Lepisosteus oculatus: one gene and its partners. The protein of the gene in region 3 purifies or fractionates together with the protein of the main gene of each other region. This does not show direct contact. Links are inferred from orthologs where the notes say so. Each region holds a gene or a part of one and is shown on either strand. Other genes may lie near its edges. The genes, in order: atp6ap1a, atp6v1ab, atp6ap2 and atp6v1f.

The links.
Region 1: the proteins of atp6ap2 (region 3) and atp6ap1a purify together in Homo sapiens (affinity purification with mass spectrometry; 5 studies listed by BioGRID and IntAct, counting the BioPlex papers as one, with this or other methods). This does not show direct contact. The link is inferred for Lepisosteus oculatus from reciprocal best matches to the Homo sapiens genes ATP6AP2 and ATP6AP1.
Region 2: the proteins of atp6ap2 (region 3) and atp6v1ab purify together in Homo sapiens (co-immunoprecipitation; 3 studies listed by BioGRID and IntAct, with this or other methods). This does not show direct contact. The link is inferred for Lepisosteus oculatus from reciprocal best matches to the Homo sapiens genes ATP6AP2 and ATP6V1A.
Region 4: the proteins of atp6ap2 (region 3) and atp6v1f purify together in Homo sapiens (affinity purification with mass spectrometry; 3 studies listed by BioGRID and IntAct, counting the BioPlex papers as one, with this or other methods). This does not show direct contact. The link is inferred for Lepisosteus oculatus from reciprocal best matches to the Homo sapiens genes ATP6AP2 and ATP6V1F.

What each region holds. Positions count from the first base shown.
Region 1 is NC_090697.1:67,059,056-67,066,247, reverse strand, and holds the start of atp6ap1a (V-type proton ATPase subunit S1), read left to right. Parts: upstream 1-4,189; 5' UTR 4,190-4,230; coding exon 4,231-4,349; intron 4,350-4,879; coding exon 4,880-5,006; intron 5,007-6,842; coding exon 6,843-6,917; intron 6,918-7,192. UniProt on the Homo sapiens protein: Accessory subunit of the proton-transporting vacuolar (V)-ATPase protein pump, which is required for luminal acidification of secretory vesicles.
Region 2 is NC_090700.1:4,083,491-4,091,393, reverse strand, and holds the start of atp6v1ab (V-type proton ATPase catalytic subunit A), read right to left. Parts: upstream 3,011-7,903; 5' UTR 2,878-3,010; intron 1-2,877. Other genes in the region: naa50 (N-alpha-acetyltransferase 50), read left to right, coding at 4,095-4,102, 7,413-7,549, 7,776-7,895. UniProt on the Homo sapiens protein: Catalytic subunit of the V1 complex of vacuolar(H+)-ATPase (V-ATPase), a multisubunit enzyme composed of a peripheral complex (V1) that hydrolyzes ATP and a membrane integral complex (V0) that translocates protons.
Region 3 is NC_090710.1:21,887,439-21,895,327, reverse strand, and holds the start of atp6ap2 (renin receptor), read right to left. Parts: upstream 3,017-7,889; 5' UTR 2,984-3,016; coding exon 2,905-2,983; intron 1,074-2,904; coding exon 943-1,073; intron 221-942; coding exon 92-220; intron 1-91. UniProt on the Homo sapiens protein: Multifunctional protein which functions as a renin, prorenin cellular receptor and is involved in the assembly of the lysosomal proton-transporting V-type ATPase (V-ATPase) and the acidification of the endo-lysosomal system.
Region 4 is NC_090702.1:45,635,447-45,642,948, reverse strand, and holds the start of atp6v1f (V-type proton ATPase subunit F), read right to left. Parts: upstream 3,011-7,502; 5' UTR 2,919-3,010; intron 2,582-2,918; exon of another isoform or gene 2,333-2,581; intron 1,162-2,332; 5' UTR 1,161-1,161; coding exon 1,003-1,160; intron 246-1,002; coding exon 44-245; 3' UTR 1-43. Other genes in the region: ankrd26 (ankyrin repeat domain-containing protein 26), read left to right, coding at 3,807-4,009. UniProt on the Homo sapiens protein: Subunit of the V1 complex of vacuolar(H+)-ATPase (V-ATPase), a multisubunit enzyme composed of a peripheral complex (V1) that hydrolyzes ATP and a membrane integral complex (V0) that translocates protons.

The DNA of each region.
Region 1 (7,192 bases), on a different chromosome or scaffold from region 3:
TGGGATTAGAGACCATTGATCTGTGGTTTGCTGAGCCAAGTGAACATTCTGAAAGTGAAAATATCTATCCTTTTATTTAAAAAAATAAAATCATCAATAGGTCTGTATTGAATGGTTTCTCTTGTCCAGCTGTGTGGTTTTTAGGGATGTGTTTTGTCTAAAAAAGATATTTGATTTCTGAAGTAATCTTTGCTGATTGATTTTAAAATAGGCCTTGGCATTGACATTACATTTAAATATCAATGTCAAGTTAAATGGCATTGAGAATAAAAGTTAAAATATTATTTTAAGGAAGACATGGCTACCTCCTTTCTTTGTTGACCGTAAACCTGATATCTTCACTGAAGGCTTTACAGTGTCAGCTTGTTCAGTATTTGTGTCCTGTAGGACCAGAAGATACTGTTGGTATCTGCTGTTTTATCTTTCAATGCACAGCTTGGTCATATCTATAAAAAATATAACTTATTCAAGAAATAAAATACTGGACTTGTTTATGAATAAGAGTACAATTAACTATACCTATATATATCTGCATATCTATACGTTTATTATACAGTTGGAATGCATCCTGTTTGGATGCTTCTGACATCGTCTTGATTAATTTTTGGAAGGTGATTTCCCTAGAGCACATCAAACAGAGTGACATGTTGGTCTAGCAGACAGAGCAATAGAGACTTTTGCAGAAGGAGTTTAACAAGATATGCCAGAAGGTATAAATGAAACCGCTGTAAAAGACATGTTCCATATTTGAATGTGGCATTTCACTGTTAGTTGTACATATTTGCTCATTATGAAGTTCTAACATATCACACTGGTAAATGCTTGTGAATATGACCATGGTTTGGGCAATGGACTTATTTGCAATGGGTAGAATAACCTGTGCAGGACTTTAATGGATGCACAGCACTGTCCATGAAATATTTATACTTTCACCCAGCCTGGCCTCTACTGCACCGATAATCAGCAGTCACCTTGCAGCTACACTGATGGGAGGTTTCAGTTTGGATGTAGTTTTGCCTTAACTAAACTTTCCAAACTTTTGTTAACAGTTGTTGACCAATTTGTAGTTCTTTTGTGTTTCTTTTTTCCTATTGATACTAAGATTTTCAGTCAACACCCACAATGGAATTTTGGGCCCCCAAAGCAAACAGTTTCTGAAGGTTATTACAATATTTACAATAAAATACATGGCAGTTCGATACGTGTTCATGTTATATAAAATATAGATGAGGTGGGTGGCATGATGGTGCAATGGTTAGCATTGCTGCCTTGCAGTACTGGAGCTCAGGTCCTACCTTTGCAGAGTTTGTAAGTCCCCCCCCTGTGTTTGCATGGATTTCCTCCAGGTAGTCCAGTTTCCTCCCACTGTCCAAAAATATAGATCTAGTTTTATTGACTTCTGGGAATATCGTCCCTGGTGTGTGAGAGTGTGTGAGAGTGTGAGACATGGGATGGACTGATGTCCCATCCAAGGCATACCCTACCTGAGGCTTCAGATCCTCCATGAACCTTAATTGGATTAAGAGATTAAAAAATTGATAGATTACTATAGAGATAGGAACACCTATAATAATGTTTCTGTTATTTAGAAATCTGAGATTCTTGGAATGTTTGCCAGAAGAAACAACAGAATGCTTAACATTATATACAGATTTGAGCCGCACCAACTGCCTGAATAATTCATTGTAACAGTGCTCAGCACACTGAGCTAGTTGCAGAAGTAACGTCATCACCCTCTGAAATCTAGACAGTGTAGTCTCAGTCTTCTGACCTGTCTGAGTTATTCACTGTTTAGAGAGAGGTGCCATGCATGCTCAGAGCCTGCAAGTAACCGGGATTGAATCCTGGCAGGGACAGGGAGAGATGCACTTGTTACTTAACATCTTAATGGCTGCCAGTTTGGGAATCCAGTTTAAGGTATGTTTAGTTGTTAAAGTGTTGTTTCTGGGTACAAATGGCACTCCATACTGTACCGAGCAATAGAGGACTGATGTAATTCTAGGCAGAGATGAATTTCTAACCAAAAAATTTAAAAGACTTGAACAGGAAACTGGAACAGATGAGGTGCCCTAAATATAAATACTAGATCCTAATCAACTAATTTAAAAGTTTTATGAAAATGGAATTTACAGTTGAGAGTACTCAATACACAATAGGATGTGCCACGAGACAAAACTAGAGATATGAACATGAACTGAGGTAGTCCATCGTTACGGATTTAATCATTTTGTATTTTGATAAGACTTTTGATGTTTTGTCCCCTATCTTTTATAAAGCTGTTTTAATTATGTCCTAAACTGTAGCCCAAAAGGCTTGGCAGCTGATGTTAATCTTTTGTACTTGTATTTGAGGTTTTCTCATGTATAAGATAATGTTAAGCTAACTAGTAGCTGCAATGTCACAGTTATTTTTAATTGTATTTTCCTTTTAATTTTGTATATGAAGTATTTTTATAACAGTGATTAAATTTAACTTGGAACTGATTGAACTGGATTATATGGATATAATATAACTAAAGAAGAAAAAGATCTTGTACTGCCTTATTGGAATCAGTTCAGAAAGTTTGTTTCATTCTGTTCCTAGTTCAAGTTAATAAAATATGGGCTTTTACATCTGTGTCATTTATGTTGGAGTTACTGAATTCTTATGGAGCTTGTTCTACTGTATAACACTGGACATGTTATTGATGTCTCTTGTTGTGTAAAAATATACTTCTTGTGAACTATTATCATTTATCATGTTCTTAAAAACTATTGACATGCTTTGACAGTTCTCTGTTGTAGCACGGAGAAAAATATTTTTCTAATATACAATTGTAATGTCATTTCATGGCAAACCTCAGTATGCTGTATTTCTATCTTTGAATCTTGGCCCTTATACAGCGTAAGTAGAGCACTCTTTCTTCTCTTTTTTTCTTAACTCTTGGACTTGGAATGTATTGTTTCAAGAATTAATTTGAGCCTTTAACAGTATTCTGGGGTGACCTTCCTTTTCCTAACCTGTATTCCTCTCTTCCCAACATGGCACCTGTAATATTTGCCCCATTCCTTCATAGCCAGCTTTTCTAAAATTATCCCTGTTTTTTAATTGTCAGCAGTCAACAAAATCTAACATATTCAGGTTACAATTTCCCACTGGTTCTCTCTTACAGAGAGCTCTATAAGTACGTACAGTAAGGGTACTTTAACAACCTGGGTTAAGAAGCCTAGTCTGGCAAGTAACAGGCGCAAGGCAGGACACCAGGAGAGTGCACAAGTCAATCGCACTTAACCATTTCAATGTTATCAATTTCTGCTTCTGTATTCCCTATCTCAGTAGGTGTGGAACATTAAAATCTCACAGTAATAGAACATTCGAGTTCTTATATTTCAAGCCTCAACTCGGTAACCACTAGCCCACACTTTCTTCCTTTCTCCACGTTCCTGAGCTGCATACACTGGCCAGCTCTCTTCCTGGCTCTCGGCTCTAAACTGTGGCTCAAACTGACGGCCCCTTTCTCAGTTCCTCAGCTCTAACCACTAGCCTCCCCTGCATCCCTCCCTTTCTCCCACTATTCCCAAACTAGTCCACACTGCCTGCCTGCCTCCTGGTCCTTTTCATTGTTAATGCAGGCCAAATCTGGAAGGAATCTTTGATCGATTTCTCTGCTGGAAGCCCAAACTTCCTGCTTCTCTTTAAATTTCTCCTGTTCTACTACTAACCCACAGCACTTCTCTTTCAAGCCCCACACTAGGCCTTTTCTCCAGTGCCTCCTACCTAATCGCCAACTCACACTGCTTTCCACCCCTCTCTGTGTTTTATTTCTCATAAATACTAAGCTTAATTCTTCTTTAATGTACTGTTAACTTTTTATTTTAGGACTATATTTCACAGTAAGCTGAAATGAACAGTATTAAAAAAAATAGTTAAGGTCTGAATACAAGTGCACAGCGAGCTGTTAATTCTTTTGACTTAAAAATAATTCTAAAGAGCTACACACGAGGAGATGAATCTTGTTTCATTTAAAAACACAGTCATGTTTGGCATACACGTAACAGCAGTGCTTCCACTCATCCGAAAAGCACAACCTGCAGCGCTGTGCCGCTGACATTAAGTCTCACCAACCGTGTTTATGTGCGAGAGGCTTTTCCACCAATGACAGGACTCGGGGGGCGGTCTCATGGGTCGTGTGTCTCACATGACTGTCAGCCGGTGAGGAAGACGTCATTGCCTCCGCTGCGAAAACACAAGATGGCCGACATGAGGATGCAGAGGCGATCTGGGGTGGTGTTATTTTTTGGTTTGTTCGCTGTTTTCTGCTTGGGCAGTTGTAGCGACCAGGTTCCTGTAGTAATATGGTCCAGTCAAGGGTAAGGACTCATTTTATTATTTGGCGAAAGTGTATTTTCGGAAGCGCAGACGGTAACCAGCTGTCCATTTGTGTATCGTGAAATGCAGTGAAATTTGACAGTAGTTTGTACGTAATATCACTCAAACTGTCTTAATTAGACAGGCATTCCTTTATTCCACTTTTAAGATATTTGAAGGTAGAAATAGGTCCACGTTATTTAAGGTTATGTTTGAAAATTGATCATACAAAGTTGTGTGATGCAACCAAGGCAAAGATATAGAATCTTTTAACATAAGGTGACATTTGTCTCTTTTTATGTCTTTACAGTTTAACTAATAGAGGAGTGAATTCCAGTTAAATGACTTTTCAAGCACTAATGTATACAAAGTTTGCATTTGGTCTGATATGAGACATCCCACAATGCATGGTTAACATGATATTTTTTATGGGTTTTATAGCATTTACTAGCTGGCTAATGTAAACCTTACTGGGTTGTTCTGTGCTTTCTTTATTGCTGATTTCGAAAATGATGCCGATCTTTGCTTGCAGGTCGGTGCTGCAGTCCCAGACTGCTCCAGTAGCTGGTCACATTGTGTCCAGCTCTCAGCTTGTCTCCTACTTGAGCTCTGCTCTCACCAGTAGCCCCCATAATGTGCTGCTGTTTCTGCAAGACAAGGTGAGGTAAAGGAATCAGTGTGGTGATAGCATTAGCACTCAGTTAAGTTAAAGTCTGTAGAGGTAGTGAAACAGTTACATGTATGTATGCCACAGAAGTGCCCTTTCCTTCAATATGGCAGTAAGAATCAGCCAAAGAACATTTAGGTTTGTTGTTAAGGTTGTTCTGGAAGAAGATGTGACCTGCTGAACTAAAAGCAGCATCAATTGAACAGTCGTAGAACCACATTCAGACATATGTATATGCTTCCATCTTTAAATTTGTGGTACATTGCTACTACACTCCATAGCATAGGGAGGCATTTATTAATTTTCACCAAAAGACTAGAGAAGCCTTCTGTAATAGATTGCACACAGTGGTCTATTAAAGCAATATTTTGTGGTGTGTTTCTAATTGGATCTGACATTTTGGGGAGATATGCATGATCCTACTAGTAGGGTTGGGCTTCTTAATTAATAAATTAATTGGCACATATAAATTAAATGGTTTTCATGAAAAAAGTGTTATTTAGCTAGGTCTTCTGAGCTTTGAAAGACTTTGAAAACAGGAATTTGACTATGGTCCACATGACCTTGCTGATTTCTTCACCATGGTGTGACTGATCATCCAGGAGGAACTGGCTCACTCCACACACATCTCATAGCCACTCTTTCATTTCCTCTCTCTTTAGTTTTAAAGGTATAGTTACAGCTCTCTGCAAACTCTGCTAGTAGTACTAACCAGTTTCTACCAGATCAAACAAATTACAGCTGGGTAAAACTTCTGTAAAAAAAGATCAGTGTCTATTACCAAAACTCTTGTTTCTTTCTGTTGCTAATCATAACATATTACTCTTGCTTGTTCATGTTTACGTTAGTGTTGATTATACTGAGTAAAAAACATTACAAAGTAAAAAAATTGCAACACCTTGCTTTTGTCTTGTATTTCAAGTCCTGGGTCAATAGCCTCCTGTGTCAGTTGCATTTATCTGGCTTGCCTTGCTAAGTAACTGTTCCAGTTTCTTAAAGGGATAGAGTGGAAATAATGGATCAGGAGGGAGTACTCACCCTGTGGTCTGTGTAGGTCCCAATGCCCCAGCATAGTGGTGGGGACACAGTGCTGTTAAAAACGGCACTGTCTTTTTGATGAGACATAAAACCGAGGTCCTGACTCTCTTTGGTCATTAAGAAAATCCTAACGCATATCCTGAAAAGAGTGAAAAGAGGTGTACTGGGCCTATTACCTGCCCTTTACCAATCATGGTCTCTTAATAATCCCAGTTTATCAATTGACTTTATTACTCTGTTCTCCTCCCCACTGATAGTTGATGTGTGCTGGCTGTATTGGCGCACTTTAGCTGCCATTGTATCATCCACATGAGTTCTACACTTCGGTGGTGGTGGAGGGGAGTCACGATTGTCTGTAAAGCGCTTTATGTGGAATGTCCAGAAAAGTGCTATAATAGTGTAAAGAATTATTATTATGTACATGTATATGTTTGCACTGAGTATCTATTAATTAAACAAAGTATTATAAGTAGCACTTTGTAGGATGAATGAGTGTTTGCTTACACTTAAAAGTATCGTTAAACAACTACAGTTTATCAAACTGTGTATGATACAATGCATAAATGGCTAAATATTCACTTGTCAGAAGTAAGGTCCCAGGAATTGTATCTGCAATTACGTTATTGTACATCCTAGTTTAGCAAAGGTGATCCAGTTTTGGAGGTGGAGCTGAAATTGCCCTGGAGATGAAAATATCCATCAGTGGGGATGAAACTGGAGTTTTCCAAGATAGGGGTTCTTTCAGCACTATACAGGCTCATTGGAAATAACTGTAATTTTTGGTTTTCAGCTCAGTGTAGATGACTTCACCATGCATGGAGGTGTTTTTGGAAATAAACAAGACAATGCCTTTCCCAATCTGGAAGTAAGTGTTTGGGTGCTTACTTCTGGGAGTACGTGCTTACATGCTCATATTCTTCTTTGTCACGTGGTAAATCCAAGGTGGAAATAGCCGAGATATGCAGCAAAATGATTCACTGGTAAAACTGCACGTTCACAGAGGCCTAACTTAGATTTGAACCAGTGATCTATGGATTATAGGTTTCAAAATGTAATTCTCTTTCTCTGTCATCAACCTTTCCTATGTTGTCAAGCAAATTGGTAATCTTAGCCGAATTCAACTTTATTTCTGCCATGGAA
Region 2 (7,903 bases), on a different chromosome or scaffold from region 3:
AAAACAACGTAAACATGGAAAGAACATGCAAAACAGATTTGTTATTTTACCAACGACGTACCTGCTGCACAGAAGACCTGTGCGAGAATGAAGTGTCACGGTACCTAACACTGGTTTCCTGCTGTACTGTACCTATCCATTGTGCTACAGGGCTCCTGCTACACAGCTCTTTGCGTGAAGAGAGCTGAAATGAAAGCCACGCAGAGATTTGAAGTTGAGATTTGGCATTGCCAACGCACTGGCTGGGCTGCTGGATGGACAGCCTGCATGATTTACGCTCACCCGTGTGGAGACCGACCCCCTGATGTGGGCTCCAGCTGAACGAATAATGAACTGATCGACAGTAAGGGGCTTTGGGAAAAACGTCTCACTGCTCGGCTCTCAATGTGGCACCCTCCCCCCTCCCGGTGCAGCTGTGTGATCAGGCACGGTCACGTGACCTCCTCTGGCTCTGACTGGTCAGTATCTGTGGTTGGGCTGCACGTTCAACCACTGATAATCTGATCTGGGCAGGGGTCTGGACACAGTCTTCACTCAACTTGGCCGTTGGTACAGTATTGTTGTCTGTTTTGTTAAGCACCTCATAAGACGTTTACTTGGAGGCTTTGCCCAAGATCAGCATGTTTGCGCAGATTTTGCGGCACAAATACAATCTGGTGCAGATGAACATGTGCAGGACACCAGCCAGCAGCTTTGGACCCCTCGGGCCATCATTAGACCTAAAGGGGGACCTTTGTTTATCCAACCCAGACCTATGCACTGAATCACAAGGTAGCGATTACATGACAGTGGAACAACTGCATAGGATCATGCTATAAAAGAAAGAAACATTAAAGGAACTTCCAAAATGGAACAATGCATCAGAGTCACCTTCTCATTCACGGTTATGACTCACTTACAGACAGTTTCCACTGATCTTCCGTCAAACCCACCAAGTTCACTAACACTCCACATCAAAGCACAGTAGTGCCAAAAGTGTAAAATTAAAATCGGGATCTTTGACCCATCCCTGAAAACTGCTCATACTTCATTCACAGGAGGGTAGTAAGCACATGCTCTTGAAGCATTCCTATATAAAAAAAGGCACTGGCTCGTTGCAATGCAGGTTCTGAAATTAGGTTCGTCGTGAGACTGACTCACCGCTGTGCTCCCCTACCACAAACCCACCCAGCCGAGGTTCTGTCACTCTGGAGCTCACAGTCCCGCTGCGTCACAGCGCACGAGGCTCAATGGACACCTCCAAGCCTCTGTCCAGCTTGCCGTCAGCGATGGTGAACCATCGCCAAATGAAATGAACAGGGCAGGTGACTCAAGGGAGTATTGAGGGTCCTCAAGGGCACAGACAAAGTCAGCCCAGTCGGCCTCTTCTGAACGAGCAGTGAAACAGGAACTAGAGGCCAGTGCATTGGAGACGAAGAACAGCAGGCACTCCTGTTTGCCAAGTCAAAGAGTTTCAATGAGTTCTACTATTACAGCAAGGGTCCTACTGTGCCAACAAGAGCCCATCTGGAAAGAAAGCCAGCAGGAGTGGGGGAACCCCAAAAGCAAAGCTGGGAACCCCTGCCTTATCCTGCATCACCCGGAATGGAAGACCATACTCGGGGCACATCACCCTTACAATATCCACACCACTTTTATGTAAAACAAAATGACAAAACTGCTAGACCGATCAGATGATACAAATGGACTACAATACAATACATCATTCATAATAGATCACTCCGTTTTCTACGTCAGATCATAGAATACATTTTAGGGGAATGCAGTTCTGATACCGCCCGGCATGTGATGGACCCCCATATATCTGTTACGCAGCAACTGTACACCCAGCCCCACTCCAGACACCCCATAAAGATGCTGAGCGCCCTTCGGAAAATTTCGCCCGGTCTGCTGACTCGATCACATGACGTGTCGATCGTGTCTAATACACATTTGTTAAGACGAGCCAACCCTCCGACAGAGCGAAGGCAACTAAATGCATAGACGGGGAATGAGACGGTCACCGCTACAGTTCAGTCCCGTAAAACAGGCCGATACCTCTGAGGTCTGAATCCGTTCAACAAAATCTAGTCTAGGGTACTTCGTCTCAGCAATACCCGTCAGGATACGTTAGCTATCCTCCATCGACGTAAACACGCAACACATTCTTAACTTGAGACATCTTTCCGCATTGCAATTATTCCTATTCCTCTAAAACTGAAACCTACACGACCCCTGGCAAGCCCAGCGGTATTTACCAGCAATGCGTCCGAAAACACGTTTGCACCCACGAACAAACCTCTGTTGCGCAGTGAACTCGCATCTTGACACTTCAAAAATACGATCGGCTCTGTAATTGTGATCGCTCAGATATTAGCGTTCATCGAAAAAGCGTAATCTAAAATTATTTCATAATACGGTATATCACACCGAGTCTCCATCTGACGAGCACAACATGCTAGCCGATATGGAAGAGTGTCTGCTAATAATTCAGACGCTTACTGGACTACAGTACGGTTAGGATGTTTTAATACGACTGAAGGACCGATGTTGCATTTTGTTTTCAATTATTTTTTTCACAACTGCCGTACAGTGCAATGGTGGCCGAGGACGGTTTCGACAGCTAAAAGAAAAAAACAAAAACGAAGGCCTGTGACAGTACTGCCGCACGAAGCGTGAAATGAAAATTGTTTTAATTTATTCACATCAGAAACCCGCAGTGTTTATTTTGCACATATGGATCAGCTGTCCAGCCTGTCACTTCAGCGGCGCATAGGTCTGCTACCGACTTACAATCTGCATTTCATTGAAAATGTAATTTAAGACACGCAGCAACACAATAAAACCGGCTAAACACATACAAAACAGTGATTAAAGAGTCAAATACCGTTACGTTACCTTCGAGAAACGAAATTATTTAAAGCTTTTTCTCTCCCTCCTCCAGCAAGGAACTTGTCAGCAAAGCGAGAGATCGGGGAGTCAGCTGACTTCATTCACCGCAGGCTGAACTACCCCTTCGACAGGAGAGGAAACTGACACCATACTGGCTCAAAACTGGATGCTGGGCTGCACCGCTAAGCTAAGCCGTTTCTAGAGCCAAGATGGAGATGATTTAGGCCCAGTTTCGTCACTTCCCCTATATATTTCGCACCCTCCGTCAAATTGAAAGAAAACAGCATTATGGGATATTGGAGGAACTTTATCGAACGCGTGTTATCCAGTTTAGTTCTTGATAAAATAATTTGAATAACTAAAACACTATTATGATTCATAAAGGATGATGTACTTAGCTTTTAACTATTCAAAAATATGCGTCTCATGTAGGGAGTCATTATCTTACCAAAATATTTTTTAAAATATTAACCCGTAACCGGCGTCCCAAATTTATAATAACGTTAGTATACTCGAAAACTGTTTTTGAATAATTGCCATTGAAGATACCAACAGTAGCTGTTAATAGATAGCCTGTCAGTAAAATAACAGATTAGTTAGTTCATTAATTTCCATAATTGCGTAAAGAAATATTCAGATATATTACGGGAGGGCACGTGTGTGTATTTCTGGTCACGTGATCTATCCGATTCGCTGTTGGATTAGATATTTTCCTTCAGTTCAACTCAAATGATTTTTAACATTTAAACATACTGTCGCATTTCCTCGCAATCAATTTATTTTTTTTAAATGCGGTCGTTAAAATATTTTAATCGAAAACGGCAACGTCGGCCCGAGTCAAAGGTCACGGCCTTTGGACGTTTTTTAAAAAAACAGCCGTTAAATTCGTCGCTTAATCGAATCCCATTTTCAAAATATTTTCACGCACTGAAAACCGGTCGCAAACCGCGTCAGGGTGGCGTTGGGGGACGGGCAGGCGGTTTTGGGGTCTCCGCGGGGGAAGGCAATATTTTTATCCGGGGTAGGGGGGTGCGGAGCGAGCGGGGTCAGAGTTCAGCCGTGTGTGTGTGTGTGCGCGCGGAGGGGGAGCGAAGTTGATCCATGTGGTTCTGGCTGACAGCGGTGCTCAATCCTCACCCGAACTCAGCCCGAATCCCCCCCAAGGACGAGCCGCTGCCCTCCGCTTTGACCGCGACACCCCCGGGAAACAACTCCTGTCCACCATGAAAGGGTGAGTAGGCGCCGTCCGCCGAGACGCCTCTCTCCCCATCACGGATAAAGTTTTTTTTTTCTCCTCTTTTCTCTCTCTCTCTTTTTTTTTTTTTTCCGGAGAGGGGTGGGGGTGTTGCGATGAGCTTTGCTGTGTGCATGCTCGCCTGGTGCTGCTGTGGGAAGCAGGAATCTGCCAACGCCAGCAGAAGCGTTGTGACCGCCGGGCGCCTGGTTAGCGAGCGGCGAGTGTCGCTCCTGTTTTCTCATCCCCAAGATGGCAAAAGTAGGATCGCTGGGGTTTTGTTTCCCAATCCCCGTTTTGGTTTTCCCTCGCGAGGACCGGCCGAAAAACAAAACCGCTGTTTGTTTTAATCGGATCCCTTCTGTATTGTGTGTGTGTGTGTTTTTTAAAATGAAAATAACGTAGAAGCGTTTGCTGTTGTAAATATTAATTTTCAAGTCTCCCCCCACCCCCCTTAACTTTATAACCAGTGTTTTTTCTTCCGCCTGTGTCTTGATAGTGAAAGATCCTTAAAACAGTGTACTAAATGGGTTAACGAAGGTGTGTTTGAGCACAATTGTCCGTTGGATCCCTTCTGAAGTCACGCAGTGGGCGATATCGGACGCAGGTCGGTTAGTATTTGGGGGTGTAATAGCGCTTCGGCCGACGTCTTCGTTGTGTATCACGGTTGCGTTGGCTAAAAGGTTAAGACACGTTCCCCCGCCCCGGGGCGTCACCAGTAGATCGACTGTTATTTGTTGTAGAAAAATCAACAGGTAAAATCCGGGGGGGGGGGGGGTCCGGGCGCGTGCGGGGTCGCCCAGCCCGGGACGCCTTTTGGCGCGCGCTGCAGCAGTAGAGGAAGAAACCCCCCCCCACCCCCGCCACGAGACACCTGTCCACACCTGTCTCGTTGTTTACCCCCCCACTGCCGGGTGGGGAGCGCTTCCCTGGCCCCTGTGAAGCTTTGACCCAAAAGCTGCTTTTAAAAGGGCGGTTCGGAGGTAAACCAGCAGACAGGAGCCTTCAGTGGCCGTGTTATTGGTTGACGAGTGCATGCTGGGTGGGGGTTCGTGAACATGATTCTTCACGAAGAGAAAGCAAAACCAATTTAAGTGGGATGTTGTTGTTTCCCCCCCCCATTCGCAGTGGAGTGCAGGCGAGAAGATGTATCTGCAGGCAGACCTATCAGACACTCCATACAGCATGTCTGCAGGTGTCTGTGTCTCTCCCGATCCTGCCTGTGCGTCTGGGCTTGCTCGCTTGATTGAGGTGTTGGACTGTAACTGAAGGTCACTGAGGGGGGTTATAAATGAGAGGAGGCCCATCCTGTTCATTAACCAAAAAAACGTTGGTACATTAAGAAGTTCGCAGAGAGAGAGAGAGGAGGCCATTTGAGTGAAAAAGGCTACTTCGACGCCCCTGTACAAAGCACTTGTTTCGGACAAGCCCCGGGTTGCCCTCCGGGCGAGGCGCTGCAGCGTGGCATGCGCTGCGGGGGGCCCTGGACAGAGCGGGGTCCTGCCAGCGCCGCGTGCCGCCCTCCTGCCGCCAGCTGGTGCGGTATCTCGTGACCCGGGCAGCTGGTTTAAAAATGGAGTTCCAGCCCCGGCCGGCCCCTATAAATACACCAGGGCGCGCGCTGGGCTCGGGGCTGCCTGGGGCACAGGTCCAGCCAGGGCGGGTGGGCCCTGTGCCGAGGAGGGGGCAGCTCTCTTCCCAGCCCGTCGGCCGTGCGGTCGTCCTGTGGGGGTTCCTGATGCAGAGCTCAATAGGAGAACAAGGGCCAAGTCTGACCTGAGCTGAGCAATGGATGTCCAACTTGGTTCTCTTCGCTCGCTGCCTGAGACTTTTCTCCTCAAGTCTGCGCCCCCTGCCATCGACAGCAATGGCTGCCCCCTGCTTGCTGAAGTCTTTTTTTTTTTCTCGGAGTTACCCAGCTGTTTTTGTGTCTTGCTCCCGTGTTTCTGTTTTTCTGCACAAAGAAACGGAAGTCGACCCTCGGCACGCCCGTGGCGTGGTGAGGAACTGAGTGCGGTGTTCAGCACCGGCCCTCAGATCTCGGCCGCCAGGGAAGGAGACGGCTCAGCTGCGGTATTGTGGACGCTGCGCGGTGCCCAGGGGCATCCTGCAGCAAAGGGGCTTGAACAGTTCCTATGGAACAGGCTGAGCAACACCCTGACTCGAGGAGATCGTTGGATCAGTTTGCCTACTAACCACCAAATGGGCTGGGCCCCTCTCATTTGTGACAACTCGGCTGAGAGACTTCGCTTGCCTGGAGCCCATTCCCACTGCTCTGTGAGCTGGGGTCCGGCTCAGAACCTTCTGCCGTGCAAACAGGAAAACGAAAAAGGCAACAGTAAACGTAACTGCACGCCGTCGCTTTGAAAGAGAACGGGACTGTAGTAATAATGGCCGGGACTGGGATTTGAAGAGAGGTGATAGTTCTGAAGTGGTGCTAATTTGTGCAGTTGTGAACCCAGCGCTCACTTGCTGGACATGGTTCATAGTTTTTCTTTGCCCACATTTCCATGACCTTTGGTCCCCTCGTTGAAGAACACATCCAAGCTCGAAGACTCTGGGCTCGGTCTGGACTGAGAGGAGGCAGCTGTGCCAGTCCTGGAGAGCATGGACATTGGCGGGAGTGCGTCCAGCTCCGCGGTGTAAAAGCTGGCCTGGCTGTGGGCTCTGCTGGATAGCAGTGTGTACAGCTGCCGCCTGCCCTGGCTCTGCTCGCGGGCTGCGAGGAGCAGCTGGGAGGTGTTGGCGAGCTGGGCAGCTCTTTCAGTGCTCTTTGAGCTCATGTGCTCGTGGCTCACCCGTGCAAGACAGCACCCAGGTGTATCAACGTTTCAGTCCTTTTGTCAGGTCTGCGGATACGTTTGCACGGACAGACGCGTGCTGTTAGTGTCATTTGAAAATATTTGCATTTCTGCTTCATCGGTGCGGTTTGTTCTTTTGTACTGGTTTAGCCTGCAAAGAATCAAACTGCTGTGCAGGCAGAGTCTTCATTTTCCCTCTTTGCTCTGCCCCCTGCCCATGCTGCTATTCCATACAAGAGCACCACAGAACGCACGGCCACACCTGGAGTTTCCGATCCTGCCTGTGCGTCAGTGAGATGCATTGTGACGGGAAAATTCTTTACAGCATTAAATAGTTTGTTCGTTGATCACAAAGTTAGTCAGTTAATGTCTGCGCAGCGCAGGAAATGCATTGGAAATGGGTCTTCCTGCCGATCCTGGGAAGGGGTTTTCACCACGGCAGTGGTGCTCAGCTGGTGTCCACTGTGGGCACGCCACAGCCGTTGACCAGTCTGGTTCTGTTCCAGTAGCCGGATCGAGCTGGGAGACGTGACGCCACACAACATTAAGCAGCTGAAGCGGCTGAACCAGGTGATCTTCCCAGTCAGCTACAACGACAAGTTCTACAAGGACGTGCTGGAGGTGGGGGAGCTGGCCAAGCTAGGTGAGTGGAGCTGGGGGTGTCCTCGATTCTGTGGGGAGTGCGAGGGGGGGGGGTGATTAAGGGCCGCGCAAGGGCAGCGAGACGTGGGCCGGGGAGGCGAGCGTGCGCGAGGAGGGTGGGGGTGGCGTGTCTGCGCAGGGCCTGCAGGTGCAGGTGCGGGTGCGGTCCGTAGGGGGCGCTGGTGCTCATGGGCGAGAGCTCACTCTCGCTCTCCGCTGTGTTTCAGCGTACTTCAATGACATCGCAGTGGGAGCAGTGTGCTGCCGGGTGGATCACTCTCAGAACCAGAAGAGGCTCTACATCATGACCTTGGGCTGCCTGGCGCCCTATCGCAGGCTGGGGATAGGTATGACT
Region 3 (7,889 bases):
GAGAGGATTAGGAAACCAGTCTCTCACTCCGGGATCTGTGCTGGTGAGCATCTTTGCAGAAATCATGGCATAATCTTTCACTGGCACTTACATTCTCCACCGGGTAAGAGGCAAGGCTCTGGGGCAGGGGCAGGCTGCCCACTCCCCTGACCACAATGAGCGCGTTGGCCCGAGGACGCTGGAAGAGACTGCCCGTCTGGAGGCCCGGCCAGGACAGGTCCTGCACAAAACACACACACAGCGTCACGGCACCGCTCCACACAGCAAGGTGCCTGTGCATCTAGCAAGAACATTCACTGGCTGTAAGAGAGAGAACTGTTGTCATAGGTGCTGCTTACTTACATTTTCAGCTTTCCACAAAACATCACAAACAGATAAGGAACCAATATTGGGAACAATAAGGAAATGCTTCATTATACCAATAGGGATGGAAAAGCTTATTATTCTTCAAAAAAGGACAAATCCCAGGGGCCTCCTGAGTGAAGGAGCAGGTTGAGCTGTGTGGTCCAGGTGTCACGGGTTCAAACCCAAGTCACAGCACCGTGACTGTGACTGGAATTCAGCAAGTGGCGGTGCACAATTGGGTGAATGCTGCTGAGGCCAGGGTGGGCGTAGCTGGGCAGGGCTCTCTCAGCTCTTGGTGAGCACAGCGCCCCCTGTGGCCATTCGGGCACTTGTGAGTTTGTGACACTGTGAGGGATGCACCTTTTCTGCAGTTGGTGTAGATCCCCTGATAGGGGTAGTGTAGCCTGTGATGCGTTAAAAGGCATGTGACTTGAAGTTGGGTGGGTCGCAGACGTCTACAGTACATACAGTAACAAGGCTTTGTGGCAGACATTCACTACAAGACTTGCAGACGTTTTTTTCAGAAAAAAAAGGGGGAAAATCTCAGAGGAACAGAACCGAAACAAGAATGTCGGAAAACAAAAAGAAAGGCAGTACCTCCTCCACAGAGAAGCCCATGGTCAGAGCTGCCAGGTCAGGAATCCGTTCCGCAGAGAGAGGCCATTGGCCCTCCTTGAAGGTGATATACTGGGGGGCTTTCAGCACTGTGAAGCTGTCCCCAAACACGCCTGACAAAAATAAAACAAGAATTTAGGTGTCTGCTTACGTACAGATTTTTAAAAAATGGCAAGCAAGTTGAGGACTGTTAAATGTTTTATCTGTTGAAATTGCTGGAAGTGGTACCTGTTAAGTTGGGTATTTGTAACACTCAGGACTGTGACATAAGTTAAATACAATTCTAAAAAACCAAGCATATCAGTTAAATCAGCAATTAGCAAGGGAGATTTGGAGCAAAACTGGAATGAAGGCCATCAGAAATTTCCTCCAGTACCAGGATTGGGAGCTACAGATCACATGTGCTGTGAATATCTAGATGCCTTTTACCTTATGTAGATTGTCAATTCATGATTGATAGCACATCTCATGTATAAATATTATTCTAAAGTGTGAACCACAATTTGTTCAACTGTACCAAAGCTTTCTTTATAACAAGACCATCTGTTAATTTTGTTGTTGCTTGTCATACATAATTCTCTTAAAATAATTATATTCACTTCATTTAATGACATTGTGCTAATTTTCCCTCTTGCCAAACCAGATTTAAAACACGGGTTTACAAATGCGCCCCTGACAAATCATTCTCAGATGAATCAGCCTATGAATTCTCACACACGTGCCCCACAATCCTACAGTACGTGACCTACAATGCCAAAGGCTGTTTTTTTATGTCAGTTCCCAAGATCATTGAAGTTACTGAAGAGCTCCATCAGAGCATTTTAAAGGAGTCATATCCAACATTTATTTTTTTGTTTTGGCTTAATGCAGTCATGATATTTGCAACAGAACCAGACAGCTGAAGAGTAGCCTTGCAATGTGTGGCTCTGCTGATAGCGTACAGGTTGAACAAGCCTGGATTAGACAGCAATGAACAGACACGCACCTGCACGGAGGCGCACTGGACCAGGACTTTACCGCCTTGTGTTTTAAGGTCAACAAAAATCCTGTCATTCTAAGGTTTCAAAATAAAAACACCACTGAGAACCAGCAGCAGCAGCAAACAAAATATACTGTACTTCAGTAATCTGCCTACACAGCTATTTAAAATAAATCCAGTGTCCTTCTATTAAACCCAGCATAACGACAAATAAAAAACGTCGTACTGGGGATTCGATATGTTACAGTTGTGGTGCATTTTTATCTTGCTAACTAGACTAATAGATAAGCTGACAAAAAATATCGAATTTAGCACATTCTGCACTTCTAACTCTGCAGAGGAATAGTGAAAAGTATTTGCCTGTCTTATTGCTATAATTAATAATATCCAGGAAACCATTGCTCAAACTCGCCGGGCTTAAACATTTGGCGTTGTCATGTGATGATGAATGCTCTTCTCAACACTCATCAAACCCCCTCGTCACTTCTGCTTTCCCCCAGTCTACAGAAACTGCTTTTTAAAAAGGAAAACGGGCGAATTACAGAAGCAATTATCAAAAATTACCGATCCGATAGTAATAAACCTACTGGGTGTTTTTATTTGTGAATAATATCAATACTGGCAATCACTAGTTACGTTGCATCAAACCTAGCCAGGCAGATATGTTACATTACTGTTACCGCGACTGCAGACATTTCTATAACATCGAGTTTCAAGCGCAAAGCAGGTAACATACGAAACACGTCTCATCAGTTTTAATAATACGTTACTGTAATTCACGTAAATAACTGAAAATCTAGAAATGCCGCGGATCAGCTGATCAGCTGAACATCTGACATCGGTGTGACAGTCTACCACTGAAAAATGAAACAAACGCGATTCAGTATTTTTTATAGAGCTTTGCTTAAGACTTTAGGCTTAAATATTGAACAATCGCCGGCGACGCAAAATACTCGAATCCTTACCAGCTGACAAAGCAGCAAAGACGAGGCACACCGCCATTAGAAATCTTGCCATCCTCCTTGCGAGCATATAAACCACCATCTTTCCCCTCTTGGAGCAGTCGCTGAACGCCGCGGTGGGTTGTGGGTATGGATCGACAAAGTACCGCCCCCTCCTCGACTCAGCAAATGAGCCTGCAGGCAGCTTTGCTAGTGACCTATCGGCAATTGCAAGTGGACGACCATGGCGTCAAAATAACCAATGAGCGAGCCGTTGTGTGACTGACAGTGTTCGCAACCAATACCCGTCGACCCTTAAAAATCATCATATGACTATTCGTAACTATGCTTCGGTTTTCCGGTATTTTGAATGTAATTTTTTTTAACCAAAACTCTACTAAACATTTTGGTGCGGGCAGTTTACAAAATAAGAGAGACAACGAACTTGAATATGTACTTCCTTAAGCAACTATTGCTCTCTTTTGAAGATTATTTAAATAAAAAATAACTTTTTTTTTTTACTTACTGTTGACTAAAACAAAATTAATACATAATAATCTGTATAATAAACTACTGTTTCAACCTGGATGGACAACACATGCTGTGGTCCCATTAGGTAAGAATAGAGTAAAAAAAGTGAAAATGTATAGACGTTGAGCCCCAGTCACATCAATTAGCCAAGGCCTAGTGAGACAAATTAATCTAACTCTTCCCGAGATAGTCTGTCATTTTGTGCAAATTTCAAAGTTCAGCGGTGGCATTATTGCAGCTATGTGTTTTTTTGTTAGAGTACTGAAGGAACAGGAAATGTACCAATCCTTGTCTCACTTGAAGAAAGAATTACAGCCAGTTTGTCTGTAATTCGGGCTGCCCGGGCTGAAACCCCGACCCATCTCTGTGGCCTTCGAAGCAGGATACCGCCTGCTGGTCAGACGGTGAGTACAGACTCTTTCTCAGTCTTTAGGATTTCTTGTTTATATATGTTAAGGCAGCCTTGACCTTGGTATTCTTCAGACAAACGTATTCATTTTTTCTCCCTTTTCTTTTTTACAAGTCATATATTGGAAGTGTCTTGACATACTTGTCTCACTTGTTGGTTTGGCAACATCAGTACTGTTAACTGTCATGGAGGGGGACTAGTGAAAATAAGTAGAAAAATAATTGGACCAAATTAAATCAAATGACATGTCCTCTACAAACACAGGGTTGTAAAGACATCCAAGAGCCTTAGGCATTGTGCATTTCACCCCCTCCATTGTGAATTTACACTATTCCTAGGTGGGAGACATCTCTATAAAAGTAACAGACCCAGATCGTCTCACTTATCTGCAGTAACACTATTGTACAGCCTTCTCTGTTGGTAATGTTTGTCCTTCTTGTTGCACTGGACTGTGCCATTAAAACAAATTTCCCCCAGAAGAGAATAATTAAGCTTGAACTTGAACTGATACAGTGTGTGTAATTGCTTTCATTTCGTACAGTTTTGAAGTGCAGCTTCCACCTGCACCTGGGTGATGCATGGTAGCCCTTATGTATCAGTAACCTCACTCCACAGTAGAAAAGGTTGGACTTCTTCAATTGACTAAGGGTGACATCTAGAGAGACTAGATTGCACAAGCAGAGTGGAAAAATAGCCAGGACACCGGTGTTAACATGAGATCTTTATAATGGCCCTGTTGAGATAGCTGTCATCTTTCCAAGCCAGACTCTGCATTTGAACAGTGTAACTTCATAATATGGACATTATTTGCTAACACCAAACCACCTTCAATCAGAAATCCTCTTGCTCTTCTTTTCCCTGTGTTTGTGTAGATGCTACACACAAGCGTGCACACTCACCTATAATCTCAGCTGTTGGACATTCAGGGATAACACAGAGTTACATCTGCAGGAACTAGCACTGGTGATTGTACAGAATTTGTATGAGATGATGCTAGCCTTGAAACTTTCTTTAGGGCTGGCCTTTGTACATTTCTCTTCTACATTAGAATGCTGGAAGATATTAGTATACAATATCTTCAACATTTCATTAAGCACAGACATTTTTTTAAATTAAGTGGCACTTTTTCTGTGATCCATTCCAGAGAGCTTACTTCACATAATGAATGCCTCCATTATAACAAACACTAAAAGTGAGTGATTCAAGTGAGATGAAAGATTGCAGCAAAGGTTATAGAGGAAATGATAAATATGTATTATTGCCAAGGTCTTGATTTTCCTTACCATAGACATTGGGTCAATAACACTCAAGCCCAAATTTAAAACAAAGTGATTGCTTGGAGTTCTAGATTTCTGATGGCCTCTAAGAAAGTTCTGCTAAAACATAAAAAAACAGTAAAGCAGACTGATTAGTAAGGCTGTTTTGAAGAGTATGTTGGTAGCAAAGAGCATGGCTAAAAATTATTTGTCTCCCGTGAACTACATCACAGACGGATGCTAGAATGATGTTAGTTGTGAAGAATGTATACTGTGTCTTCGGTAAAATAACCACTGACTTTTGATTCATTCCTACTAATAATCAGATTGGTTTAGTGAGAAACGTGCTTTAATACAAATTACACTAAGTGAGGCCTTACAACAATGAACTGCGGTGTTGTACTGGTATATAACCTGCAATAGTACTATCTTGACTGAACCGACATTTCTCAGAAGCTTTGACATTTTAGATCCTGCTATGTATGGATAAAGCTTGAGTGTTTACCACTTAGACCATTTTTCAATAAAGGCAGGCTTAAAGTTAAGAATAAGGTGGTGTTCAGACGACTATCTTGATTTATACAAAAAATACAGTCTCGCAACATTTTGTGTATACCCTAAAATGAAAAATGCGACGTTTTGACTAAACAGGTTTTGAAACCGAGTCTCCACAGTGGGCGGGGCCCCGGGGGCGGAGCCTTCCCCTGCGGCGCTGCACCTTTGACACGCCCATTCCCTTATTTGGAAGGCTGACAGGCGTTGTCTATTAGAGCAGTAACTGCAGCTGAAGATGAAGCGAGCCGCAGGTGTGTCTTCAATAATAGATATGAGCCCGGGAGAGATGACTGAAAGAGAGACGGGTCCCGGGCCAGGGTAAACAAGAGAGGGGGGGGTTGAGCGTACAGCACCTACGGCTGAAGGGTTAGCCGTGAGTTGAAAGGCACGCCGGGGGTGAAAGCGGTGTCTTTGAACAAAGTGACTGTGGGCCGTGTCCAGGGACTAAGGATGAAAAACCTGGACCTTTGAGTTCCTGCGGAGGACTGGCCGGCGGTCTCCGAGCCAGTGGACAACAGCAAGTGCAGGGCTCGGAGGGTCTCTTCTGTTGTGCAAATGCAGCCCCAGCATCCACCGGCGGAGACTGAAAAGGCGCAATTAACGCTTTTTAAAAAAAAAACTTTTCGCAATGTGGTGGAGATTGTATGGGTTTTGTGAGCGTGCGTGCTCGTTGTGAGATGTCTGCGGCGAAAGTGTGTTCACGGTATTTTTTTACAAATCAAAATCAAGTGAGAGAGAAAGACGGATCGGCCGCAAAAGAAGACGACGAGGCCGACAGCTGCTGTGCTGAGAGGAGCCCGTGGGGAGCAGGGCTCCGCCGGGGGCGAGAGGGCTGTGTGCCCCGGGCTGCGAGGCGGAGTGCGGAGGAAGCTCAGGCGACACTTCAAAACACAACCTGCTTTGTGTGGGTGCCGGTCCGCAGCTCAATGCCCGGGTTGTTACTATTACAGCAACCGTGAAGACGCGATAGCCCGCAGCCCAGAGAAGGTCTAGGTGTGTTCGTTTATTTTCTCTGAAGCTGGAAGCACTGCCCGCACAAGACTAAATAAAGAGGGCAGTTCACCTCCCGGCTTGTGTCTGCGGTGTGTTTCTTTGGGGAAAGGAAAAGCGTCGATGATGGTAGCCAAGTTTCACTTGATGTATTGGCTCTGAAGAAGAGTTTGAAAGGGTTTTTTTTTTTTGAAGATTCAGCTCAGTCTGCCATCTTGGCTGACGCTTTTATCCCAGGCGACTGACGTGTACTGTACACCCATTTACACATCTGGCCATCTTCCTGCCACAATTAGGTTGAAACACTTTGCTTAAGGGTAGAACAGCTCTGTCTCAGCTGCTTTTTGAATATCAATTAGCAAATGCCCAGGACGATGCCTGTCCATTTTATAAAGTAGATAAATTGCATGGTATTTGGCCACATGCAGTTTGAATGTCCAGAATCCTGTGGCACACAAAACCATTCACAGTGAATAGCCAGTTAAATCTAAAGTGTTAGTTTGTTTCCACTGCAGTGATTCAGCTTTGATGCTGTTATTTATTTGTTCAGATCAACAGTTGTTGCAAAATTAGAAATCCTATTGTTCCAAAGATAAACCCTGAAAAAAAGTGTTGGCTACTTTAGCCACATCTAAACAGAGGCTGTTATATTTTTTTTTTCCTGAAGAAATGGCGGTCAGGAAGTCATCTTGGTCTGTGCAAGAACACCACAAAAAAGCATTACAATTAAAATAGACTTCCAGCCTCAGCAGACTGGTAAAACCATATTTTTATCACCCTTCCATCCATTTTCTAACCACGTTTTCCAATGCAGGCTCATAGTGGTGACAGAGCCAGAGCCTATCCCAGCAAGCAATGGGCACAAGGCAAGATTGACCTTGGACAGCATGCCAGGCCCTCACAGAGCACCCACAGACACAAACACACTCACACTGATTTTCCTTGGAGCCAGTTTATTTACCAGCATGTCTCTGGACTGCAGGAGGCAACTGGAGCTCCCGGAGGAAACTAACATGAAACCAGGGAGAACATGCAGACTCCACGCAGACAGCAACCCCAGGTCTGGAACTGAACCCAGGGCGCCAGCACTGCAAGACATCAGCGCTAACCACTGTGGCACCCTCTTACAATTATTTTTGCAGACCAAAACTGTCAATATTTGTATATGTTGTTTGGTTCCTGGGACATTTTAAAACAACTATTGCTTTGTCTAAGTATGTGACTGAAATTGCCCACATTGACCAGGTTTGTTCTTTCAAAGGCATATA
Region 4 (7,502 bases), on a different chromosome or scaffold from region 3:
GCTATAATCTGCTTCAGGACATCCTCTGCCTCTTCGGGGAGGTTTACCGGAAGTCCTCTGCGCTGAACATGCCTTTGGCCCTGCGCAAAATGGAGTCCTTGGAAGCATCATAGGGATGTTCCTTAGATGGGATCTCAAGCACAGCTGGGATGGACTGCATGTGAGCATCAATAGCGTGCCGGATCATTTCTGCAATGAACTGGTTGATCAGAATGATCCCAATGTCATCTCGAGCCAAGAAACTCCTAGAAAAAGATGAAAAAAAGAGGGGTTACTCAGGGGGATACAATCTTGAAAAACACGAGCACATTCTGTGCCTCACTCTGTATGCAGAATATATGACTGCAATGATTAATCATGAGGAACACATGCAAATTGCATACAAATTATCACAGAAACAACATGCCATCAACCTCCAGCCTACTGCCTCACACACAGCAGTGGCGATCTGACACAGAAGCACGTGAAGGCTTGCGTGCCCGCTGCGTTTTTTAAATAAGGAAAAAAGGAGGAACTGAGGATGTGTCATTATTCCAGATGTATTAGAATAAAAACGGTTCACTAGCATTTTTATACTGCAAACATAACGCTCTGCAAAAGTTTAAGCTCAACTTAAAATGTATTTAGACCGTAATGCTTGACACTTGCAGGTCTCAGGTATTTAACTTGGAACATAACATTAACGATACCGTTATTGCTCTGCAGATGTACTCTTTTCAAGCAGACTTACTTTTAAGTCTTCTACTAACTAACAGAGATGTCATTTCTATTTTAAATTTGACCTTGTGCAACTGGATTTTCGAGCATGTCTTTAGCGATATGGAAGAAAGAAGGCTATCATCAAAACCAAGAAAATAATCATTTCCCCCATGCTGATCTTACAGTCATGGCCAGTGTTTTAAATTATTAACCACACTTATTGCAACACAATATTTTGAATTATATATTCTCTAAATATATATGTCTCGTCGGCATTGTTAAATCAGGCCAGCTCAAACTCACTTGAAGGTCTCTTCGATCTCGGTGATGCTTGTGTCCTTTTCGACCACCAGAAAATTGGGTTTACGGTTCTTATTCAGCTCTCCAACGCCTCCGAGCAGGAATCCGGTGCAGGTGTCTTCATCTCCGATCACCGCGATCAGCTTGCCTCGTCCTGCCATGCTGGACAAAAAACGTATGCCTGACTATTTCACAGAGGAGTCTGACAATACTTTCTTCGGTTATACTCTCTTCAGGATAAACGAAACACCTGAAAAATCTCAAGTTAACGACGCCTGATCAGCTGACCGCGCCGTACTTCCTTTTTCCTGACAAGTCACGGGATAATTACGTCATCAGACTCAGCGACGCTAACGACCATCGATACCTGGAACACTAGATAAAATCCAGTCATGGAGATGTTTCCATTGTCCTTTCTCTGGCGTTGGAGAGAGCTTTGCTAACGGAAAAAGTATTAAGAAGGACCTCTAATTCGTGTATTAAATATAGACCTAGGCTTATTTTACAAAGTGTTAGAACCATTTTAAATGACTAAAATCATCTTGTGGGTGAGTTTTGTCAGCATTGCCCAATGTTAGAGCGCTGACGTAAGCGAATTTACAGTATGTGTGAACTAAGACATTACGGAAAAAAACTTTGGATTAATTGCCAAATGCAATATTCGTTAAAATATTGAAATACTGGGTTTGCTGTGTCACTCATAACCCCTCCCCCCATACACACACACTGCAGTGGTGGGAATAAAAGGGTCTGAGTTCAAACAGCTCAGATGGGAGAGTATAGTACAGTTTCACCATTACTGCACACAGTTGTTTTATACATTTTCAAGATTTTGCATTATATTACTGCGTCATTATATTGAAAATGTAATAAAAAAACTAAACTGAATTTGATCGAAGGTCAACAGTGTGCCCCAGCAACTAAGACGATACATCTACGGTACCCATCTTAAAAGGGTAACGTAGCTGGACTTGGAGATCTGGCAGTGCTCACCGACATTCTCTAAAAACAAAGGATTTTGAAATATGTATGCTACGAGCTAAAAGACCGATTGGGCGTTTAAGTGAAAAGGGTCACACTTTGGTGGGGGGTGACAGAATGCAGTTATTTTTTAGATTTCTTCTACTTGTTGTTTTTATTTTTATTATTAATGAAAGTGTAATATGATCTGCTCCGTCTCCCAAACCCAAGCATTGCAAACTACCAGTTGCTCAGAGAAGACTGAACCCTTAGTAGGGATGCTGTTTCAACCACACTTGCACGTAGTGGGCGGGTCTTCTCTATGCCACAGGACTATAGCCTGTGAACTATTGGATAACGGGCGAGTGCTCACCGATCCCACGCACTGGATTGGATGCGATCACCGCCGGTCACACAGTTATGTTACTATGTCCCCACGCAACGTGCAATGCCAGTTGGTCACTATGAGAAAAGTGAAGTAATGGATTTGGGAAAGATTTGTATTGATTAGGTTTGTTATATATTGCTTTTTTTTTCAAAAGACATATGAAGAGCATGTATTTTTGACGCTATGAGAATGATTTTTTTTATATTCACACGAATGATCAGAGTTAACGGCAAGGTATATAAATCTAGATTTTTCTAATAAAAAAGATCCTATTTTTAATTCTCCATGTTGTTTTTTAGTTTGCTGTGTGGTTAAATAGTTACGCAACAACTATATTTGTATTCATTTTTGCAAAGACTATGGTTGACATTTTGAAAATGGGAAACTTTCAAGATCTTTGCAATGATAGAATGACCCGATTGGAAAGTACTGATTTTCAGTGTTTGTATTTGGTGTCATACCTTGGCATATTCCGCTCAAAATTGAGACTTCTGCCACGTTTTTGCAATTCGTTGTCTGTGAATCCGAAAGAAGAAATTTACGTACAGTAGTGGAAGAATGGTGATCTTACCTCGTACAGACGAGTATAATTTGCTGTTTTTTCACCAAGTCAGGTTACACTCGTATAACGTCGTGACTTCTTTAGACGCTGAATCTCACCTGACACCTTGGATACAAATTCAAATGTCGCGGTTGTAGATGACGATGAATTATTCAGACTCGGAGCACCAACACTGCCAGTGGAGACAAGACCTGTCGTAGCCGATTCCCAGTCTAGTTTGATCAATGATATGTTCGTATGATATTGTGGCGGTCGGTTATACGAACCGAGAAAACCCGTTTCGTTGTTTTTGTAATGCCAGGCTGTTAAACCCCCCATCCTGTTCTGTTTTTAGATGCACGGCGTGGTTGCCTTGGTTACAGACTCTGTAAATTGAGCTCCTGCCCTTGCTGCTGCTGTTGGTGGTACACGAATTGTGCAGCTATGGGAGTATGGTGTAAATTAACTACTGATAACGACTAAACTCCAAATGAGGCAATTGCTGTCTTTTTTACACTGTCGACCATTTTTCACCGAAACCCCGATTTGATAAGGTAAGGAAAATTATTATCCTTGCATGTTATGCCCTGAAATTGTATTTATGTACAGTATGTGGTCTTAGGGATACAGGACACAGTGATCGCAAACATGCTATCATAATCAGACATCCTAATTGCTCAGGGCATATTTACTGTATGTATTTTATTAAAATAAAATAGAATAAATAAATCGCCGTGTTATTTCTCATTCTGCTAGACTCATGAGTTTGACATCATTATCCTTATCCGATTTACTGGTTTATTTTTGGAATGGAAAAGACGCCCAAGGTGAATCTTCTTTTGCACCTGAGTGAACAACGCCTGGACACTGCAGGGCGATGAAGTCGTGCATCCCTTGTCCGACTCGAAACAGTTCACGATGAAGAAGATATTTAGCTTTGCGAAGAAGAAAAAGGGGTTTTCTCCCAATTCGTCTGACACGGGGAGTGTGCTGTCTGCTGGATATGAGCTAAAGGAAAAAGATCTAGGAAAGCTACACAAGGCTGCTTCTACAGGGGATCTGACCAAGCTCAAACAACTTGTAAAGAAACATGATTTCAATCAGCTGGATAAAGAAAACAGGTAAGTTTAATTTTCTCTCTAGACAGCTTTCCTGAGAAAACAGCACTCTGAAACAGTTTGTTTGTATCGTGTAATGAAACATTGCTAACAAATTCAATATGTGTTAGGTATTGTGTTGTCCCGTATCAAGACCTGTTATCCTGTATTTCTGTTGATTTATAAATCCAGTTTTCTTTCACATTTAGGGGAATATGTCAAATTAATTCCTGTCTCCAGAAATGTCTATAAAATGGGATGTACACTAACCTGCACATGATTTACAATGGTTGCAATCATCCGAACAAGCTAGATGAGCCCAAGGTCTTAAGTCCTACCTCTCTTGTTCCTGTGCAGCTTTTAGTTCATGTTCTTTCTGGTGTAATTGTTAGACACTTGTAAATGCTATTAACTGTTGTCTGTCTTTTGGTCTGTTTTTAATTGGTGGAGGTAAGCTGCAGAGTTTTTGATAGCACTGTAAAATGGTAGTTTATTATTTCTGTTGCAGTGTGGATTACAGGGCAAAGGCCTGCTTGCTATTTCAAAATTACATTTAATTGGAGTGGCAAATATTTCACATTTAATCTTTGTAATATCACATTTTGTTTATTATTTTAAAAAATGAATTGATTAATTTTTTCAATTGTAACGCTACATAAAGACATTTTGTTATTTAAAATATGCATTTAATAACATTTTTAACTTGGGTCACATTTGTTTTGCAAATATGCCAGAACTAGTCCAATTTCTAGTTTTAGGCTGAGCATTAATTTGATATACAGTATAGTGTACTTGCCATAGCAACTAAGCTACAGCAAATATTTCTAAACATAATAAGTGATCCGATACGATCTTTAAAAGGATAACCACTAAACATCAAATGTCATCCTCCACTTATTTTACTTGCAATTTGCATCAGCATCCTCTGGAACATTTGTAGATAAATTTATTCTAATGGAAAACTAATGTTCTTCAAAGATACATGTGAAGAAGGTTTTAGAACATTCATGTGAATTCAAATGAACGTTAATGGGCCAATTGGTACTTAAATATTTTTCTAATAAATGTAAAAACCTACGCGGATCCCATGCAGTTTTGAGTATGCTACAGGTTCCACTTTGTACATCTTTAGAAATTGCTCTGTAGCTGGTGTACAGATCCAGTCCTAGAGAACCAGAAGGTTTTTGGTCATTTGCTTTCTATTTTAGGCCTGAATCGCCTCATTGAATTTACCTAATTAGCCAAGTTGCAGACTTACCTTATTCCTAAAGAAGCTGGAGTTTTAAGGATTCCTATAAAACCCACTGGACAATGTCCAGAGTTGGATTACCCTATGTAACTAGGTGTCACAGTTGTTGGACAGGAGATGGGAGTAGCATCCTTGTGTGGACTGGTAGTTAGTTCCCTGTTATCAGCTGTACTATAGTACTTGTATCCTGTGCCATCCTGACAAAACGTCTGGAAACCCTTCCATTTTATTTTCTCATTTTTAAAAAAATAAACCTGTAAATAAGGGATCCCACTTGAGTTGATTGTCAGCGTGCGCCAGTTACACAGACCACCGCCAGTGAAACTACCAGTGCCTGGTGGGACCTACAGAATGTCACAACTTGCAGGCATCTTAGTGACTTGCAATGTAGACACACCCCAGGAAGTCACTGAGTGGGGTTCTGGGAAGTGTAGTTCTCTTAGGCAATGCAGTGTTTCTGAGCTTTGCTAGCCAGCTTCGGTACCCTGCTTTCCATGGTTTGTGTTAACTTCTCCAGCTTGGGAAGCATCCTATGCTAGCAGCTATTACCTGCTACAGCAAAGCGTTAGGACAGGATTGCACCAATATTATTTCCTTTTGAAGACTTTCCTTTGTTTTGTCATTAAACTGTTATTAACTTTACTGTAATAGAAAAAATGGCTAGAGTCCATGTTGTATCTTATGTCTTACCTTTTCAGTTCATGGCTGATTTTGATTGCAACCTCACTGTTAACATTTTAGCACACAGTCTTCATTGTTGCTGAGGTTCTGAAGAATGCAGTGGGAATAAGGGAGGGAAAGAAAAAAAAACCCTAAATAGCTGAGAGAATTTATTCAGCTGATTACTATGCCATACATTCTAATAATTAGAATGCTTCAGTTTGTCACATATGATCATTTTCTCAGTCAGGTGTGTTGATTAATGTTGATAAATTCAGGTATAAAACTATAGTCTTTTCTAACAGCAGTTTTTTGAAGGCCTGGTGAATTTACATTTTCTGCATTATAACTATTTAATTTTTATTAAAATTGTTGACATTTTAGTGCACCTCATATTCCCATGTCTGTTTTAAAATATCTAACTTGGGTTCTTAACTGTTTTTGCTGCCATTAATATCAAGGTGTGCATTTATTCTTTATTGATATGATGTCTATCCAACGGTACTGTTTTTAACTGGTCCTACTCATATCTGACTGGCAGACAGCATTTTGTTTTCTTGGTCCTCATAAATCTTCTATGGCCCCAGTCAATCATGGTGTGCCACAGGGTTCGGTCTTGGGCCCATTGCTTTTTATAATTTATATGAGTTCTCTTGATCAGATTATATGCAAACATGGTCTTCTGTTTCGTTGTTACGCAGATGATACTCAGATTTACATTAAAACATCTGCCCCTCTGATCTCCAGCCTTTGTCATGTTACTCTTGTCTGTGTGACATCAAGCTCTAGTTGACATCAAATTCTTAATGCTAAATAGTTACAAAATCTACATTTTACTAGTGCGTAGCAAAAAACTGGAAAGCTTCACAATAAATGTTGATGGCTTCCTCATTCCGACACCAGTCATAGTCAGGAATCTTGGAGTCACACCTTCTATTTTTTGAGCCACACTTCACAAAATGTATGAAGATCTCTTTTTTCACCTAAAAATATAGCGAGCATTAGGCAATTTTTATGAATGTTGGATGCTAAGTGCTTGATTAATGCATTTATGACATCAGGGTTTGATTTCTGTAACTCTTTGCCCTGTGTGCTCCCTAACACTTTTCTTAGTATGTTACAATGTATCCAGAACTCCACAGCTACACTTCTGACTCACACCAGACCCTGGCAACATATCTCTCCTACATTCAGATCTCTACTTTGGTTGCCTATAAAGTCATATATTCAATAAAACATCTTGTTACTGACTTTTAAGCCTCTAAGTAATCTGTTCCATCATTCTCTGAACTCCTGCATGTTTACACTGCCTCCCATTGGCTCTGTTCAGTTGAGACTGGTCCTTTGCTCACTGAACCTAGGACTGAATCTCAGACTTTCGGTGACTGTATTTTATTTTTAGCTTTTTATTGTATATTTTTTATCACTATGTACAGCGTTCATGGGTTTACAGAGGTGATTTATAAATCATTTTTATATGTATAACAGCTGCAAATGACCAGATTACAGTCAATCCTCCGTTTAAATGATTTCACTTTAATAGACTTTGGAGTTAATAGACCCAATCTGCTAAATGTGAATTTTGAGGTTCTATATTTCTGAAGTTAT